Linked DNA regions of Macaca mulatta. The main gene of each other region encodes a partner of the protein of the gene in region 2 in a complex. Links are inferred from orthologs where the notes say so. Each region holds a gene or a part of one and is shown on either strand. Other genes may lie near its edges. The genes, in order: CHCHD3 and IMMT.

The links.
Region 1: IMMT (region 2) and CHCHD3 share a complex: the UniProt entries of both Homo sapiens proteins name them as parts of the mitochondrial contact site and cristae organizing system (MICOS) complex. The link is inferred for Macaca mulatta from reciprocal best matches to the Homo sapiens genes IMMT and CHCHD3.

Annotation. Positions count from the first base shown.
Region 1 is NC_133408.1:172,495,539-172,503,548, reverse strand, and holds part of CHCHD3 (MICOS complex subunit MIC19), read left to right. Parts: intron 1-5,273; coding exon 5,274-5,409; intron 5,410-8,010. UniProt on the Homo sapiens protein: Component of the MICOS complex, a large protein complex of the mitochondrial inner membrane that plays crucial roles in the maintenance of crista junctions, inner membrane architecture, and formation of contact sites to the outer membrane.
Region 2 is NC_133418.1:38,185,570-38,194,178, reverse strand, and holds the start of IMMT (MICOS complex subunit MIC60), read right to left. Parts: upstream 4,378-8,609; 5' UTR 4,296-4,377; coding exon 4,251-4,295; intron 1-4,250. Other genes in the region: MRPL35 (large ribosomal subunit protein bL35m), read left to right, coding at 8,226-8,268. UniProt on the Homo sapiens protein: Component of the MICOS complex, a large protein complex of the mitochondrial inner membrane that plays crucial roles in the maintenance of crista junctions, inner membrane architecture, and formation of contact sites to the outer membrane.

The DNA.
Region 1 (8,010 bases), on a different chromosome or scaffold from region 2:
CTGACATCTTTTTCCAAAGTCAATAGTGGATTAAAATTAAAATGTTAAATCTTAAAGTATTTTCAGATACATACTATTCTTTCAAACCTTGGGTTTACAGGATATAATTTTATATGCTCTGTTTTCTAGCTAGCCAAAGCTAAGCTTTTCTTTTAAAGCCCAAGCTGAAGCTATTCGATTAAATAGTAAGGCCCTCATTACAGGTCATGGTCTGCTCTCAGTGTGACTGGTTCGTTGAGCTAAGTGCTGAACTAGGTGATGTCCAGGTCAGCATTCCTTTCTCTGGTAACAGTGGAGGCCGCTTGGCATTTTGTGTTGTGATGGTAGAAAACGTATTAGTTAACATTCATCATGTTAGTAATCAAAAGAAATTGTATCTCAAATTGTATATGAAAACAAATGGAAACAAAGCAGGCAGCTTTTGGAGCTATTTGGACCACTTTAGAGAGGGCCCTCTAAAGTGTAATTGTGGAAATTTGATTATAGCTCAAATGGAAATATCATTAATAAAAGGGTTAGCAGTTATTAAGAATGTCAGAAAAGCTTAAAATTGAATTTTTCAGATCTTGCATTGTTAGAGGCTATTTACATTTTACTCTGAAAACAAATATTAGGATATTTAGATTTAAGGTAAAATCAAAAAGTTAATATAGTACATTTCAGATATTTTCTTTATATTGCATTTTACAATAGATTAATTATAAGTGATAAGAGAAACAAAAGTAAAGGATTACATATTTTTAAATATTGGCAATGTGCCTAGTAGCTTTAGTTTTGCATTTTAAAAGGAAAGCAGAAATCCTAATCACCGGGTTTAACAGCTAATAAAAAGTTGGTAGAGAAAAAAATTAGAGTTTTGCATTGTGATATAGGAACTAGACCTAAAGATTTGATTCCCTGATTGTGTCGTGTGTCTGCTTTTAGTGTAAAATATGGTTTTATGAGACCACCTGATCCCGTGAAGGATGCATTATCACAACCTGTTAAAAAAAAAAAATTAGAATTCTCCTTTTAACACCAGCCATTCTCATATTCATTTTCTCTCTCCCTCCTTCTTTCCTTCTTGTTCCTTCTCTTCTCCCTCTCTCTGGTCTTTCATCATAGTATCTGTAGAACTCTCTCAGCGTACTTCTGGTTCAGGTACAGAGAAAGGATCCTTTCCTTGCATGCCTACACTCATAATGAGTGACTTCAGTGTCCTCTAGAGCCTTGGGAGTTGTGGCTGCCAGCTGATTGAGTGGAGAGTGGTGTGAGGAGTGTTATCTCCATATTTTTTCCTTCTCTGAAGTTACCTTATTATCCTCACCATTAACATTAGCAGAACTAAAAAGATGGGTAAGTAGTTTTCTTGAAATGTAAACCTCAGACCCACATCAAAGAAGATTCTAAGACTTGAAAGTAGAGGCAGCAGTGGAACCAACAGATAGTTTTAAAACAGAAAACCAAGTGTAACTGTGTTACGGAGTCTTAAGAGGGGACTTCTGAATACTCCCTCTGGTTTGTTTTTGCTAAAACTGTTTTTGTTTCTCTTTGATCAATTAATTTAACTTACAGGAAAGTCTCCTAAGGTAATAATCAGAAATGGTAGTAATAATTTATGTCCTTCATGTTTTTTAAGCAGTGAAAAATTAGAAACAGCCTAAATGTGTATCTTTATTCTTTTCTGTCTTTTTCCACAGTTTCTACAATAGACCTGTTAGTATAATGAGAAAAAATACTTGGATATATATTTTTAGATGCCTTTTAAGTGAATATTAACATTAAACATTAGCCAAAAAATGTTTTGCTGGTGACAGGCTACAGAATACCTACCAAAAGTGCTTCTTCTGATTTTGTTCCGGGGTCAAATCTTTGGGACTCCAGTTCTACCTTTGGTACTGTCAGCAACCCCTTGGGCCTTTGGTGCCACTGTATGGGGTAGGGAGGGCCAAAGGGAGGGCGGGCTGCTAGTGCTTGTGGAGATGAGGGGAGAGGAAGGGAAGAGCAGAGTAAAAGAGTACAAGAAAGAAAAGAAAAGAGACGTGTGTACATATGGTAGGATCCATGAAAGGTTCCCAGTAATTTCAAGTGACCACAAAACTGAATTTTTTTTTCTTGTTTTTGTTAAATGTATATTTTCGAAGGTTGACTCTGTTCCACCGATTTTTTCTTGCTAAACATGTTTTTGAGTAACTATCAGATCTTCCCACTTCTTTATTAGTGTTTTAAGTTTTCCATATCTGTATTTTATCCTTAACATTGTTATTCACCATTTATTTGCCTCTTCCTTACGTACAAAGAAATTAACTTGTCTAATCATCCTTTGCTGCTAAGATTGAATTTTCCTTCCTAGGTATCTTGAAAGTCTGCCTTTCATTATTTTTGCCTAATAGGGGCTTTTTCCATCAGCAGGAATGAAAGCAGTCAATAAAAGTCAATTGCTGACTCTATGATTATATGGAGGGTTTACCATAATGCATATTGGAAATGTTTTTGAAACCTTTATCCTGAATGGAAGGTGCCATGGCTTGTGTTTTATGGCCTTCTAATGTTAGACAGCAATCTCATTTAGCATTTTCCCAAAGTGAAAACAGTGCATTAGGGCAGTATAACAAGCTTTACAGATCAATACAGAGGCAAACCTTTACCCTTACAGATTAATCCAAGAAAGTGTCCCAGAGTCTACTCCAGGAGCTGGAGGACAATTATGCATCCTCTTCCCCTCTTTCTACCATCGAATCATTAATACAGATTGAAATGTGTACAAAAAGAATATCAGAGGATGACTACACACACACACACACACACACACACACACACACACACACACACACACACACACACACACACACACACACACACAGAACAGACCACCAGACGGGAAATCAAGAGCCCTGGAAGTGAGTAGTATTGATTTGTGGTGATAAAAGTATATTTTGACACATTTCAAATCATAAATAACTCATGGACTTTAACTTGCATGACTAATAGCTCAACTCAGGATACATGCTTATCTACAACTTAAACTACCTCTTTCTGAGGAGTCCATAACATTAGGTGAATTATCCCATTGTGAGTAGTCTTTTTAAAGGAAAAAATACGCTGTCTTCTTTATGATGTGCAGTGTGGCTGCTCATTTTTACAGTCTTTTCCTGTATGTTAATGAGGAAGGGCTGCATATCTGGTCAGGGTTGTTCTAGCCTTCCCTCCTCACCTCCTTCCCCCTGCTTTTAAATCTGAGACACATTGGAGACAGGATCAGTTGTCAACACTAGGATACAATGTAACCCCGCTTTCCTGTGAGCTATTAGTCATTAGTCATGTATATGCTAGGTTCAGCTGATCTGATGCTTAATCATATTTTATTCAATATTTATCTAGATGCAGGTCTTGCTATAATTAGTCACTTAGTGGTATCTGTGCCTATACTCTTTGAAGCACGACTGATTCCTTTTAAATCCTGATGTTCATGGTAAAGGATTAGGGAAATCTGTGTCCAGAAAAATTCATAGACATCTGAAGTTTGAAATCTTAAAGCATGGAAACTCCGGGGATTCTATTTAAATTCTGTTCTTAGGTATTTGACAAAGCAGTAAGGTAATGAATGAAAAAGTAAAAGGGATGTTATAGAAAAATTGCTGAAACTTTTTTTTTTCTCTGTATGTCTGTGTTCTTTAGAGGGTAGTAGGAAGTCAGGGAACTGCCAACATGCTTTGCGTTTCTATTCTAGCAAAATAGATATTAGCTTAGTGTACTGGATAAAAGGACTGAGGAGACAAATCGTCGCCCAGGGGTTTCTTTATTGATGAGAAATATTCCCCCTGTGTTCTCTAGGGGTTTTTTTTTTAGAACCCATTAAGTTTAAAATAATGTGATTTCAAGATTACTATGGAAATAACAAATTTAAATTTCAAAAATAGAAGTGATAAGACTGGAAGCTTGTATTAAAACTAATTTGAAAAAACATGAATTTCTAGATTAAAAGTAGTAGTACTGTGTTTTTTTTTTCTCTGTATGTATTTAGTCCTTACAATCCAAACTTCCCTGCCATGTTAATAAGAATATTTTACCTTCATTTGTATAACTCATTTGGTTTATTATCATTTTTCAAGCGTATATTATAAGCTTTTTGGAAACATTTACATTTGGTCTCAGATATTCACAGAAGCAATCTGACTAAAATCTGAGATTTGTAAGTATAAGTAGCAAAATTTTAACCCAAGGGACTTTAAAATGTTTTCTTTGTACCCATTTGTATTCACTGAGTAAATGTATTACATGACTTCTGTAGGGGTTCCCATGTCTAATAGCTGAGGTGACAAAATAAGTCACAGCCCTTGGAATTTGCATTCTAGTAAATGTAGGTTGCTAAATTGTATTAGGTTGTATGGTGTAGTCACTGTCACGTGCATGGCAAGAAAAGTGAATACAGAACCAATGGGGTCACCATAAAGGGAATGATAGACTGTACCGGGGTTGGGGGGTGGAGAGCTAATGAAGCTGACACTTGAGTGAAGTATCAAAGGATGAGTAGGTTTTCTCCAGATATATAGGCATAGGTGGGAGTTTGGGTGTAGAACATTTCCAGAAGCAAGAGCAGCATGAGCTTAGACCTGAAGAGAAGTGTAAGAACCAAACCCTGAACTGGGTTTGTCTAGGCTTCAGCTGTGTGCAGGGTGTGGGGGTGAAGGCAACAGGGTAGGCAGGAACCTGCTCAGGAAGGACTAGCCAGCTGGCCTTGTATTTTGTGTAGAAAGTGCTGGGGAAAGAGACCGTCTTCGATTTCCTATTGGAAAGAACCCTCTGGAAGGTGTGTAGGGGCAGGTGAAGAGGGTATCAAAGCTGAGAGACCAGCTGGGAGGTCATTTCTTGAGTCCAGGATGCGTCTCACTTGGAAGCAATGGAACGACAGTGATGTGGAGCAAGAGGACCAGGCTGCGGGGATCCCCAGCTTTGTGGCCAAGTGGATATGGGAATGGAAGAGAGAACTTAGGGCTTCCAAGTTTCTGGCATGTTGATACGGTTTTGGTTTGGAAGGGACGGTTATATTGTCCAGACTAACTCACAGCAGTGTCAGTTAATGGAACTCATTTCTTAGAATTTATTTACCCTTTGTCATTTTTATCATGGGAAAAATTTAGCTATCTTTAAAGTTTAAGGAAAATTCTTTCTCTTAAACTTTTTTCTACATTTGCAACATCTGTGTCTTACTGTACGTTTTGTGTATTCTTTAACCTTGATTGTTATTCTGAATGAAGACCATTGGTCTCAGCGGTCCCTGTGTTTGTTTTCAGGCGGTATGAGTCTCATCCAGTCTGTGCTGATCTGCAGGCCAAAATTCTTCAGTGTTACCGTGAGAACACCCACCAGACCCTCAAATGCTCCTCTCTGGCCACCCAGTATATGCACTGTGTCAATCATGCCAAACAGGTAGGTGTGCCAGCCAGGCCAGTGGGGGCACTGGGCAAATCGAAAACTGGATGACCTGGGGCAGTGGTAAGGACTAAGTGGGCCGCTGTGTGTGAAAAGGCTTTCTAAGCCCTAGTCATCATCATCAAGAATTACTGTAATGAGTTGATTAGGGCATAACTTCTGTCGGATCATTGTCAAAGAGCCCATATCTTCCTTGCGTTCAACTCATTTACTTGCAGAAAAAAGGATTCTACTAAGATTATACTTTTCTCCACTTGCCCTGAGCTTTTGTCTTCTAATAATAATGTTCTCAAGGTCATTCCTCATACTTTGAGGCCAATATTTAGAGCCAGTGAAGAGGATACAGATTAAGAGCTGGCACCTTTGGGCCCATAAGCAGCAGGTAGTCAGGCAGAGGGCCAGGTTAAAAAAAAAACCCCACCGTTCAGTCACTGTCCAACCCTTCCACTAGTTTGACAGAGTCCACTTAATTGGACAGGGAAAGGGAAACCAGAGATAGCATTTAAAAAAGAATTCCACTGCTTTTATAGACCATAGCCATATTCTTCTCTTGACCCTTCATATCAGAATAATACGATGTTCACAGGACGTGCATTTTCTCTAATTTATGTACTTTAGAAAGCTAATGATAAACCCTGAAGCAAATTATCCATTCTGGCAGGTCACATAATTGCCTATCATTTAACCAATTTAACCGTTGGATATAGGTTGTTCTGAGAGGCGGAAATTGTTGGAAACCTTGATTCCTTCTGCTGACAAACTCCATAGATTTGACCTTCTAACCCAACTAAATCTAGTGTTTGAGTTACACAGCATGCCTTTCTGCAGCCTAATTTGCTGTAGTTATAATAATATCACTTGGGGTAAAATTTTTATACTCTACAAATATCCGATGGGAGGGTTAGTATTGTCTGGATAGCTGGAAAATAACAGTAACATTGGTGGAAAAAAATATAATCAATATTTATTAAAAGCCTATGTTGTCCTTAAAAGCCTAGTGGCTGGCAACTTTTTTCTGTTTCTTGCTTGTAGCATAACTCTTCGTAGCGTGCCAGGAATCCTTTTCTTTAAAGGTCTTTGGTAGAGGTAATGTTGCTGATGTTAAGTTAGTACATTTTATTTGTCGAAAACAGCTTCTGATATGCTCTTAATAAACCCCAGCCTTCAATATGAATACAAACTGAAGGACTTGGGACTTGTAGGTTGATTCATGGATTTTTCTAACTTGATAATAGTGCCTTATTGAGGTGGTGGCCAGTGGAAAAGAGTGACTGTGACAAAGTGTATGTTTCAATGCTGGTCTCTAACATACGTGCCTGTTTGTACCATGTGATTTGTAACATTACCACAGTGGCAGCCGCAGGGGCATTGGGAGTGCTGACCCCATCCTGCCTGTCTGGGTTGTGTTGAATTATCTACACATAGTCCTGTGACATCAATGGTATATATTTATAGAATATAGCAAAGTTAAGTTATGACAAAATCAAATACACCACATGGCGCGATAGCGCGTTTGAATCTGGCAGACCTGAGTTTGTACCCTGTCCTTTTACTAGCTCTGTGACCTCGGGGCTTGAGTTTTCTCATCTGTAAATTGGGGTAATGTTGTAAGGATTACCTTTATATAAAGTATTCAGTAAATCTTATTTTTCCCCTTCTTTCCTCAGTTGCATTATTGTGCGGAAATTTACTAAACAGGTCAGCCAAAAGCATCAAATTATTATTAATGATTTCAAAAGAGACCCTCTTTTTTCCCCCTCAATCTCCAGTCTGTTATTTTCAGCTAGTATGTTTGGAGTATCTATTGTTTTCATGGCTCTTGTATTCAGTTATTAGGAGGTGTATAATACAAGTTAGTATTAAAAAGATAGAAGCCGTCAAACCTTTTTTCCTAAGATGGGCAACATTGAAATGGACAAGAACCAAGAAGCTGCACTGCCTGACATTTCTGCAGTAGTTAGGAGTGCACGGCCATTTCACATCCATTCTTTTACTTGTTTTCTTATGACAACCTGAGATGTAAATAGAGATGGTTTTATTTTCACCATTTTCCAGTTGAGAGCATTGAAACTCAGGGAAGTCACAATAGTAAATCACAGCTAGACCAAGATGTACCTTGCCATAAAAACAAAAAATTTCAAAATACGTAAGTGGTGTTTGGTTTTTGAGTGGGTAAGTTTGTGAAGGGGCATCCATCCATCATCCACTAATACAGAAATAAGTCAGTGAGGGAAAGGGAGAGCAGAAGCAATAAAGGGAGGACACAGAACATGGAAGATCTAACGAGTGGGGGACAGAGTCTGAAGGTCACACGTGGGGAGTGGGTTGATGAAGCCTGTGATGAAAGGGGCAACTTGGCACTGGCCCATTTTAAGATCACGCCACAGTGGCCAGAAGGAGCTTCTGTCAGCGTTTCATGAGCAGTTACTTTCCCTCCAATACCAGGTTGTCCTTTTGCTCCTTGTGAATTTAGTCTAATCTCGTGACCCCAGCTGTGCCCCTATTGTTTGAAGAGACTCCAGCAAGATACATGGTCCCTACTGCCTGATTTAGCAGTTCCTCATGGGCCAACTTCTTATATTCCCTTGTTATATTTCC
Region 2 (8,609 bases):
CTTCATTCAATCAGTTGAAGGCTCAAACACAACAAAAAGCAAGAGGCAGTTCTCTAGCAGACTGCCTCCAGACTGAAACTGCATGATCCACTCTCCTGGGTCTCCAGGCTGCTAGCCAGTGGACTGAAACTGCAATATTGGCTCTCCTAGGTCTCCAGCCTGCCAACCCACACAGCAGATTCTGGACTTGCTAGCCTCCATAACTGTGTGAGTAGAGTTCTTATGATGCATCTTCCAGTCGGGTGGTGGCTCACGCCTGTAATACCAGCATTTTGGGAGGCCGAGGTGGGTGGATCACGAGGTCAGGAGATCAAGACCATCCTGGCTAATACAGTGAAACCCCATCTCTACTAAAAATACAAAAAAAAAAAAAAAAAAAAAAAAAAATTAGCTGGGCTTGGTGGCAGGCACCTGTAGTCCCAGCTACTCAGGAGGCTAAGGCAGGAGAATGGCGTGAACCCGGGAGACGAAGCTTGCAGTAAGCCAAACCCAGCCTGGGTGACAGAGCAAGACTCCGTCTCAAAAATAAATAAATAAATAAATAAATAAATAAATCTTCCTAGGCTGAGCACTATGACTCATGCCTGTAATCCCAGCACTTTGGGGAGGACAGGGTCGGGAGATTGCTTGAGCCCAGAAGTTCAAGATGAGCTGGAACAACATTGCGAGACCCCATCTCTACTAAAAGTCCAAAACATTGGCTGGGCATGGCAGCCTAAGCCTGTAGTCCCAGCTGCTCAGGAGGTGAGGTGGGAGGATCGCTTAAGCCCAGGAGATTGAGACTGCACTGAGTTATGATCACGCTGCTGTACTCCAGCCTGGGCAACAGAATGAGACCCTATCTCAACACACGCGTGCACACACACACACCCACCACACACACACACACCCCTATTGTTTCTGTTTCTCTGGAGAACCTTAATACATAATCAGAGGTTTGAAAATATATGGGATGTTTAAAGGGAGGTCACATCCACTTACGCAGATTTAAGAAAAATTCCACTTTGGGAGGCCGAGGTGGGCATATCACTTGAGCCCAGGAGTTGAAGACCAGCCTGGGAAACACAATGAGACCCCATCTCTAAAAAATTTTTGACCGGGCGCGGTGGCTCAAGCCTGTAATCCCAGCATTTTGGGAGGCCGAGATGGGTGGATCACGAGGTCAGGAGATCGAGACCATCCTGGCTAACACGGTGAAACCCCGTCTCTACTAAAAAATACAAAAAACTAGCCAGGCGAGGTGGCGGGCGCCTGTAGTCCCAGCTACTCGGGAGGCTGAGGCAGGAGAATGGCATGAACCCGGGAGGCAGAGCTTGCAGTGAGCTGAGATACGGCCACGGCACTCCAGCCTGGGCGACAGAGCGAGACTCCGTCTCAAAAAAAAGAACAAAAAAAATTTATGAACACATTCATTCTTTCATTTATATGTCATAAACATTCACTGAGCATCTACTTGGAGCTAGGGACTATTGTCAACACTGGAAATACAGCAGTAAACAATATGGACACAGTTCCATTGTGGAGCTTACTTTTTAAAGGTGGAAACTGTGTAATAAGTACACATTATAACATCAGGTAGTGCTAGGAGCTACAAAGTATAACAAAGTAGGATGGGGTAAAGATACAGTGATGCAAGGAAGGCCAGAGTAGTGAGAATTTTATTTTGGATCAGGATGCCCTCTCTGAAGGGAAGGTGACATTTGAAAAAACACCTGAAAGGAATAAGCTAAGCAAACATGTGTGAGAAGAGTTCAGGGCAAAAGAAACAACTGATGAAAAGGCAGTGAGGCACATGCTGGAGATTACCAGGAGAATATGAGTGAGGCAGTAGAAAAACGAAATACGAGAAGAATCAGATCAAGGGCCCATGGTAAGCAGTTTAGATTTTATTATGAATGTGATGGGATGTCTCTAAAGAGCATGACCTCATGTTTGCATGTTTGCCTTTTAAAAAGCCTTTTACTATATGTCTTACTGCTTTTACTATTCCCTCCTAAAGAATGGACTCTAGGAGGCAACAGTAAAAGCAGTAAGACATTTAAGAAGATGGGGTTGGCTGGGCACAGTGGCTCACACCTATATTCCCAGCATTTTGGGAGGCAGAAGTGGGAGGATCATTTGAGCTCAGGAGATTGAGAACAGCCTGGGCAACACAGAGAGACTCTGTCTCTACAAAAATTTTTTAAAAAATTAGCCAGGGATGGCGGCACATGCCTGTGGTCCCAGCTACTCAGGAGGCTGAGGTAAGAGGACTGCTTGCGCTCGGGAGGTCAAGGCTGCAGTGAGCCATGATTGCGCCACTGCACTCCAGCCTGGGTGACAAAGTGACACTCCGTATCCAAAAAAAAAAAAAAAAAAAAAAGAAAGATGGGGTTTAATAAAGTGGAAAGGATCTTGACACGTGAGATATTCTGGATAAGTTGGCACAATCAAATACGATAAGGCTCGAGAGTCATCTGCTTGGGGATTAAAGTTCTGACAGTTGATGTAATCTCAAATTGGAGAGTCTATAGAGACAGGGAGAGATGAGAAGGTGTATATTTCGAGGTATGAAGAAGCAGCAGACTCAGTGAGGGAAAACTAGATGGGACCCAAAATATTACTTGAGAGAAGCCAAAAGTGCAGAGCCTCATAAAGCAGATGTCAAATGCTACAGAATGATTGAGGAGATGGTGAGAATAAACCAAAGAATTTTACAAGATAGCAATTTCAGGAAGTTTAGACATCTGGATTCAGAGCTATAAAAGGGTTCATTTTTTATTACAAAGTTTTAATTAGTTTTCTTATTTCCCAAATGGGATCCCAAAAACTTGACTCTGCATTAACTGAAAAGGAGGTCATCCAGGTGGGCCTGGTCTAATCACACAAGCCTTTTAAATCTGGGTCTAGAGAGGAAAGACCGAAATAAAAGAAATTTGGAAGTTAGAGAGGCAAGATCCTGGTAGCCTGCACGAAAGCAGCCATCCATGTTATGAATGGCCTCTGGAAGCCTTGAGGCAAGGAACTGTGGGTAGGCTGTAGAAGCTGGGAGCAGTGGCTGACAAGAGGCAGCAAGAAAAAAGGGACTTCAGTCGTGTAACTGCAACGGACTGAATTCTGCCCACAAACTGCATTAGCCTGGAAGAGGACCCAGATCTCCAAATGAGAACCACAGCATGGCTAATACTTTGCAGCCTTGTGTGACCTGGAGGGGAGAACACAGATCATCCATGACCAGGCTTCTATCCTACAGAACCCGTAAGGTTCTGCTAAATTTGTGGTTGTTACGTACAATAGAAAACTAACGTAGGTTCGTTCCACTTTCCTATGGAAGGGGTTGCTTCTGTTACCTAGCAGCAAATAGGAAGAGAAGCGAACTTGAAAAAACAAAGCTTGACTTTTATGATCTCTAACTCACTCTTCCTAGGGATTCTGTTCACTTACTGCTTTAGTCACAGTACTTGTTTTGCTATCTACAACATTTTGCCAAAATATCAACTTTCTGATAATCGTGAGCAATGGAAACAGGCTTTTTTATTTTCAATTTTAGAAAGTAACTTTGGCAATTACGCAAAACTAAAAGTAACTGGGTATTTAGGCTTCTTGAATGTCAAAGTAGTCCCAGCGCCTGGAGACACAGATCCCTGTCCTAATCTCAGAAATGAGCCACAAGGTCATGACTCCTGTCTTTCCTTGAAGACCAGGAGTTTCAACTCCACAAAGGAAAATCTTTCGCTTTTGTTTGGATTAAGAATAGTGCATAAGTGTTCCCAGCTGCGAAAAGAAAGGCAGTCCCTCACAGATAATTACAACCTTGACCCCTAAAATGTGGACACTCGCTAGAAGTCCAGGCACCTCCTTATTAAGGATGCAACAAGCCGCGGCTCCGCTCGTCCTGCCGGGAACTGTAGTTCTCCCCCGTCGACCTTCAGCACTAAAAACCTATCGCGCGCCCAACCGGCGACCCAGACGCCAGCAGTCAGGATTGGTCCTGGACGGGGGCAGCGCGGCGCTGATTGGACTGCACGCCCTCGAAGCCGCGCCTCCCGCTACTCTCCACACCTCACCCCGCTGCTGCAATAACCTCAAGTCATCCCAGTCTGGCGAACTCCCTGGTGGCTGCCTCGTTGCCAGCCCAGGCCTCTCCCGACGAGGGTAGCCCAGAGACTCGCCTTTGTCCTGGAGGCTAGGCAGGGCCCAAGGCTCCCCCGTTTTTCGCTGGCGGTCCTAGGTCAGCCTCCTCACGCGCCCTCGGATGCCCCAGTGCTCACCTGGGCGGCAGCGGTCACACCCGATAACTGACAGGCCCGCAGCATCTCGGTCGAGCGGACGGCACTGCTGCTGGACTCGGGAGCTGCCAAGGCGGCGCGAGTTAAGTGGAGGCGTGCTTGCGTGTGTGCGTACCCGCGTCCGCGCCCGGCGCACCGGAAGCGCAGCCGATGCCACTGCGCACGCGCGGCCCCTTCTGCCCGCAGCAACTCGGTGGCTCTTAGAGGGTGGGCTCTGTCCCGGCTGCGGAAACGCCAACGCCGGGCGATTGGTGCGCAGGAGGCGAAAAGGGCGGATTCCTTTTCCGGGTCGCGCTCGGGCTGCAGGTCCTTAGCCCGGAGCTGGGGTTACTAGGTGAACGCGGCTGGAAGGAGAGCGTTCTGAAATCCAGTCTTCAGACTCACGCGGAAAATGGACATCTGTGGCTCTTCAGAGAATTAAAGCAAAAAAGAATCTCACCTGGCTCTGTGAGCTAGATATTTCGTAGGAAGGAGCCTATTTGGCGAAAGTTACGTAAACAATGCAGTTGTCACAGGTTGCGCGTTTGTTTCGTCTGACGGCCCTTCAGGGAGTCATCCTGATTGCTGGAAACGGTGAACGAACACTGTAGGGACCCTTGTGTGGAACGTGTCAAGTGGCACAACAAGGATAGGAACACGGGTCCTTTGGACTCCACAGCTTCTGCTCTTCCAGATTAAACCACACTGCGTTCTCCAAGTTTTTACTGTAGTAATATCATTTTGGCTGCAATTTGTGGATGGGTTGGAAGATGGGAAGTCAGCGCAGAAGCACCGTTAAAAGTATTCCACTGGGCCGGGCACGGTGGCTCACCCCTGTAATACCAGCACTTTGGGAGGCCGAGGCGGGCGGGTCGCCTGAGGTCAGGAATTCGAGACCAGCCTGGCCAAAATAGTGAAACCCCGTCTTTACTAAAAAATACAGAAATTTAGCTGGGCATGCTGGCGGGTGCCTGTAATCCCAGCTACTCGGGAGGCTGAGGCAGGAGAATTGCTTGAGCCCGGGGCGGGGCGGGGCGGGGGCGGAGGTTGCAGTGAGCTGAGATCATGCCATTGCACTCCAGCCTAGGCAACAAGAGCTAAGCTCCGTATCAAAAAAAAAAAAAAAAAAGTATTCCATTGATTCGATAATCAAAATAAAACGTTAAATATTAAGCATGGTATTAATACTCCATGTATGCTCCAGAATTAATACGTTAATATTAATATTATTAACATCTTATTGCAATATCATGGAAACTAACTTTTCTATCTTGTACTGAGTTTGCAAAGTATTCCAAGTCTTAACTGGGTAATTTATTACAGTATGTATTCTCTGTAGAGGTAGGCTGCGCTATGACTTGTAACATGGAGAGAGAGACTTGAAAATTATCTAAAATCAAAGGGTTATGTTTGTATATCTTCTATGGTTTTTAGGGGACTACAGTAATTACATATACTCAGTTTCGTATCTCTTTCACTTAGCTTCCAGAGCAGTCTCCCGTTTTCTTTAGATTGAATTGCTGCCTCCCTGCCCACTGCTGTCATGCCCAATGGTGCCGGTGTGATGACTTTTCTAACACCCTTGGCTTTGAACTTCTCAATGCCAGTGAACGCTTTCATCCTGCTTCAGTCATGTACATCACAGCCACAACTTGCACCTGAACATCATTAGCAACCTCTCTAGCTTCAAGATCTCAAACTTCAAAATTAGTCTCCCAACCCCTCATAACCTATGTGGAGAGTCCTCACTCTCCACATGCAAGTTGTCAATATTTTTGCTTTAAAATGTTATCAGGGAAGCTGGGCGCTGTGGCTCACACCTGTAATCCCAGCACTTTGGGAGGCCGAGGTGGGCGGATCACCAGAGGTCGGGAATTTGAGACCAACCTGGCCAACATGGTGAAACCCCTCTCTACTAAAAATACAAAAATTAGCTGGGCTTGGTGGTGCGCGCCTGTAATCCCAGCTACTTGGGAAGCTGAAGCAGGAGAATCGCTTGAACCCAGGAAGCAGAGGTTGCAGTGAGCAGAGATCACACCACTGCACTCTAGACTGGGGCACAGAGCGAAACTCCGTCTCAGAAAAAAAAAAAAAAAGTTATCAGGGGCTGGGTGTGTTGGTTCATATCCCGGCATTTTGGCAGACTGAGGTGGCAGGATCACTTGAGCCCAGGAGTTTGATACCTGCCTGAGCAAAAGAGCGAGGCCTCTTCCAGCACTTTGGGAGGGCGAGGGGGGTGGATCACGAGGTCAGGAGGTCGAGACCATCCTGGCTAACACGGTGAAACCCCGTCGCTACTGAAAAAAAAATACAAAAAATTAGCCGGGCGTGGTGGCAGGCACCTGTAGTCCCAGCTACTCGGGAGGCTGAGGCAGGAGAATGGCATGAACCTGGGAGGCGGAGCTTGCAGTGAGCCGAGATTGTGCCACTGCACTCCAGCCTGGGCAACAGAGCGAGAGTGTCTCCAAAAAAAAAAAAAAAAAAAAAGCGAGGCCTCATCTCTACAAACAATTTTTTTTTAATTAGCAGGGGATGATTGTGCATACCTATGGTGCCAGCTACTTGGAAGGCTGTGGTGGGAGGATCCCTTGAGCCCAGGAATTACAGGCTGCAGTGATTGCACCACTGCACTCAGACCCTGTCTCTAAAAAGCAAAATTTAAATCAAATCACTCACTTGTTCAAAAATGTGCAGTGAGGCCAGGCTCAGTGGCTCACACCTGTAATCCTAGCACTTTGGGAGGCCGAGGTGGGAGAAATGTTTGATTCCAGGACCAAACAATTGAGACCACCCTGGGCTCACATAGTGAGAGCTAGGTCTCTACAAAAAAATTAAAAATTAGCCAGGTGTGGTGGTGTGTGCCTGTAGTCTCAGCTACTCAGGAGGCTTAGGTGGGAGGATTGCTTTAGCCTAGGAGGTCGAGGCTGCAGTGAGCTGTGATCGCTCAAGCCTGAGCAACAGACCAAGACCTCGTCTCAAAAAAAAAAAAAAAAAAAAAAAAAAGTGTGCAATGACTCCCATTGCCAATTCAAAGAATTTTTATGAATGTCTCAATATACTTGTCTAGCGTATGTGCCTATTTTTGGACTCAAAGTGGCCACCATAGGTGGGAGATCAAGTTGGCAACAATAGTGTTCCAAGGTAACACCCCCTATATCTCGCTCTGTACCCCAGGCTGGAGTGCGGTGTCTCGATCTCGGCTCACTGCAACATCTGCCTCCCGGGTTCAAGCGATTCTCCTGCCTCAGCCTCCCGAATAGCTGGGACTACAGGCGCGTGCCACCACGCCCGGCTAATTTTTTGTACCCCTTAGTAGAGACGGGGTTTCACCGTGTTAGCCACGATGGTCTCAATGTGCTGACCTCGTGATCTGCCCGCCTGGGCCGCCCAAAGTGCCGCGATTACAGGCGTGAGCCACCGCGCCCGGCAAGAATTTTTGTTTTTTTTTTTTCTTTCTTTCTTTTTTTTTTTTTTTTTTTGAGACGGAGTTTCGCTCTTTCGCCCAGACTGGATTTCAGTGGCGCGATCTCGACTCACTGCAACCTCCGCCTTCCGGTTTCAAGCGATTCTCCTGCCTCAGCCTCCCGAGTAGCTGAGATTACAGGCGCTTGCCACCGCGCCCGGCTGCTTTTTGTATTTTTAGTAGAGACGGGGGTTTCATCATGTTGGCCAGGCTGGTCTCGAACTTCTGACCTCGTGATCCGCCTGCCTGGGCCTCCCAAAGTGCTGGGATTACAGGCGTGAGCCACCGTGCCCGGCCCCAAGAATTTTTTTAAATAATAAATTTTGTGGAACCTTCTATAGGCACTCTTTACAGCGGCGAAGAGCGGAACCCGGCAGATCACATTGAATAAAGGTTGAGTGGACAACTCCTTTGTTATTTTCCTCTTCCTTGACTCCGCCTCCTTGCTTTCCCTTCATTCCCTTTGCGGTTGTGCTTTTAAACCCAAAGCGGCCGCCGTAGGCGAGGGTGGCAAGATGGCTTCCTTTGTCTTTGCTGGTGCAGTGAGAGCAGCTTCAGGTCAGTGGAGAGCGACATACTCCATGCATGCCTTCACAGGAAGGGGAACTGGTGCGGGATAGAATGGGCGTTTAGAGGGAGGTTAACAAGCAAAAAGGGTCATTATTTAAGATAAGAGGGTTAAGCCCAATTTTCTTTGGGGCGGTGTGACCGGCAGCCTGTACCAGGTTCCTTGACTCGGACTCACGCGGGCCTGTGTGTCCCGCATTTTCAACTTCCTTACCAGCTTTTTCTTCCCTAGAAAACAAGCCAGAGAAACTGGAACGGAGGGGGCGAGGGAGACCAAAAAGTCTCACCTAACTTTCTGATTTGGAGGCTAGGACCCGCCATTCTGGACCTTT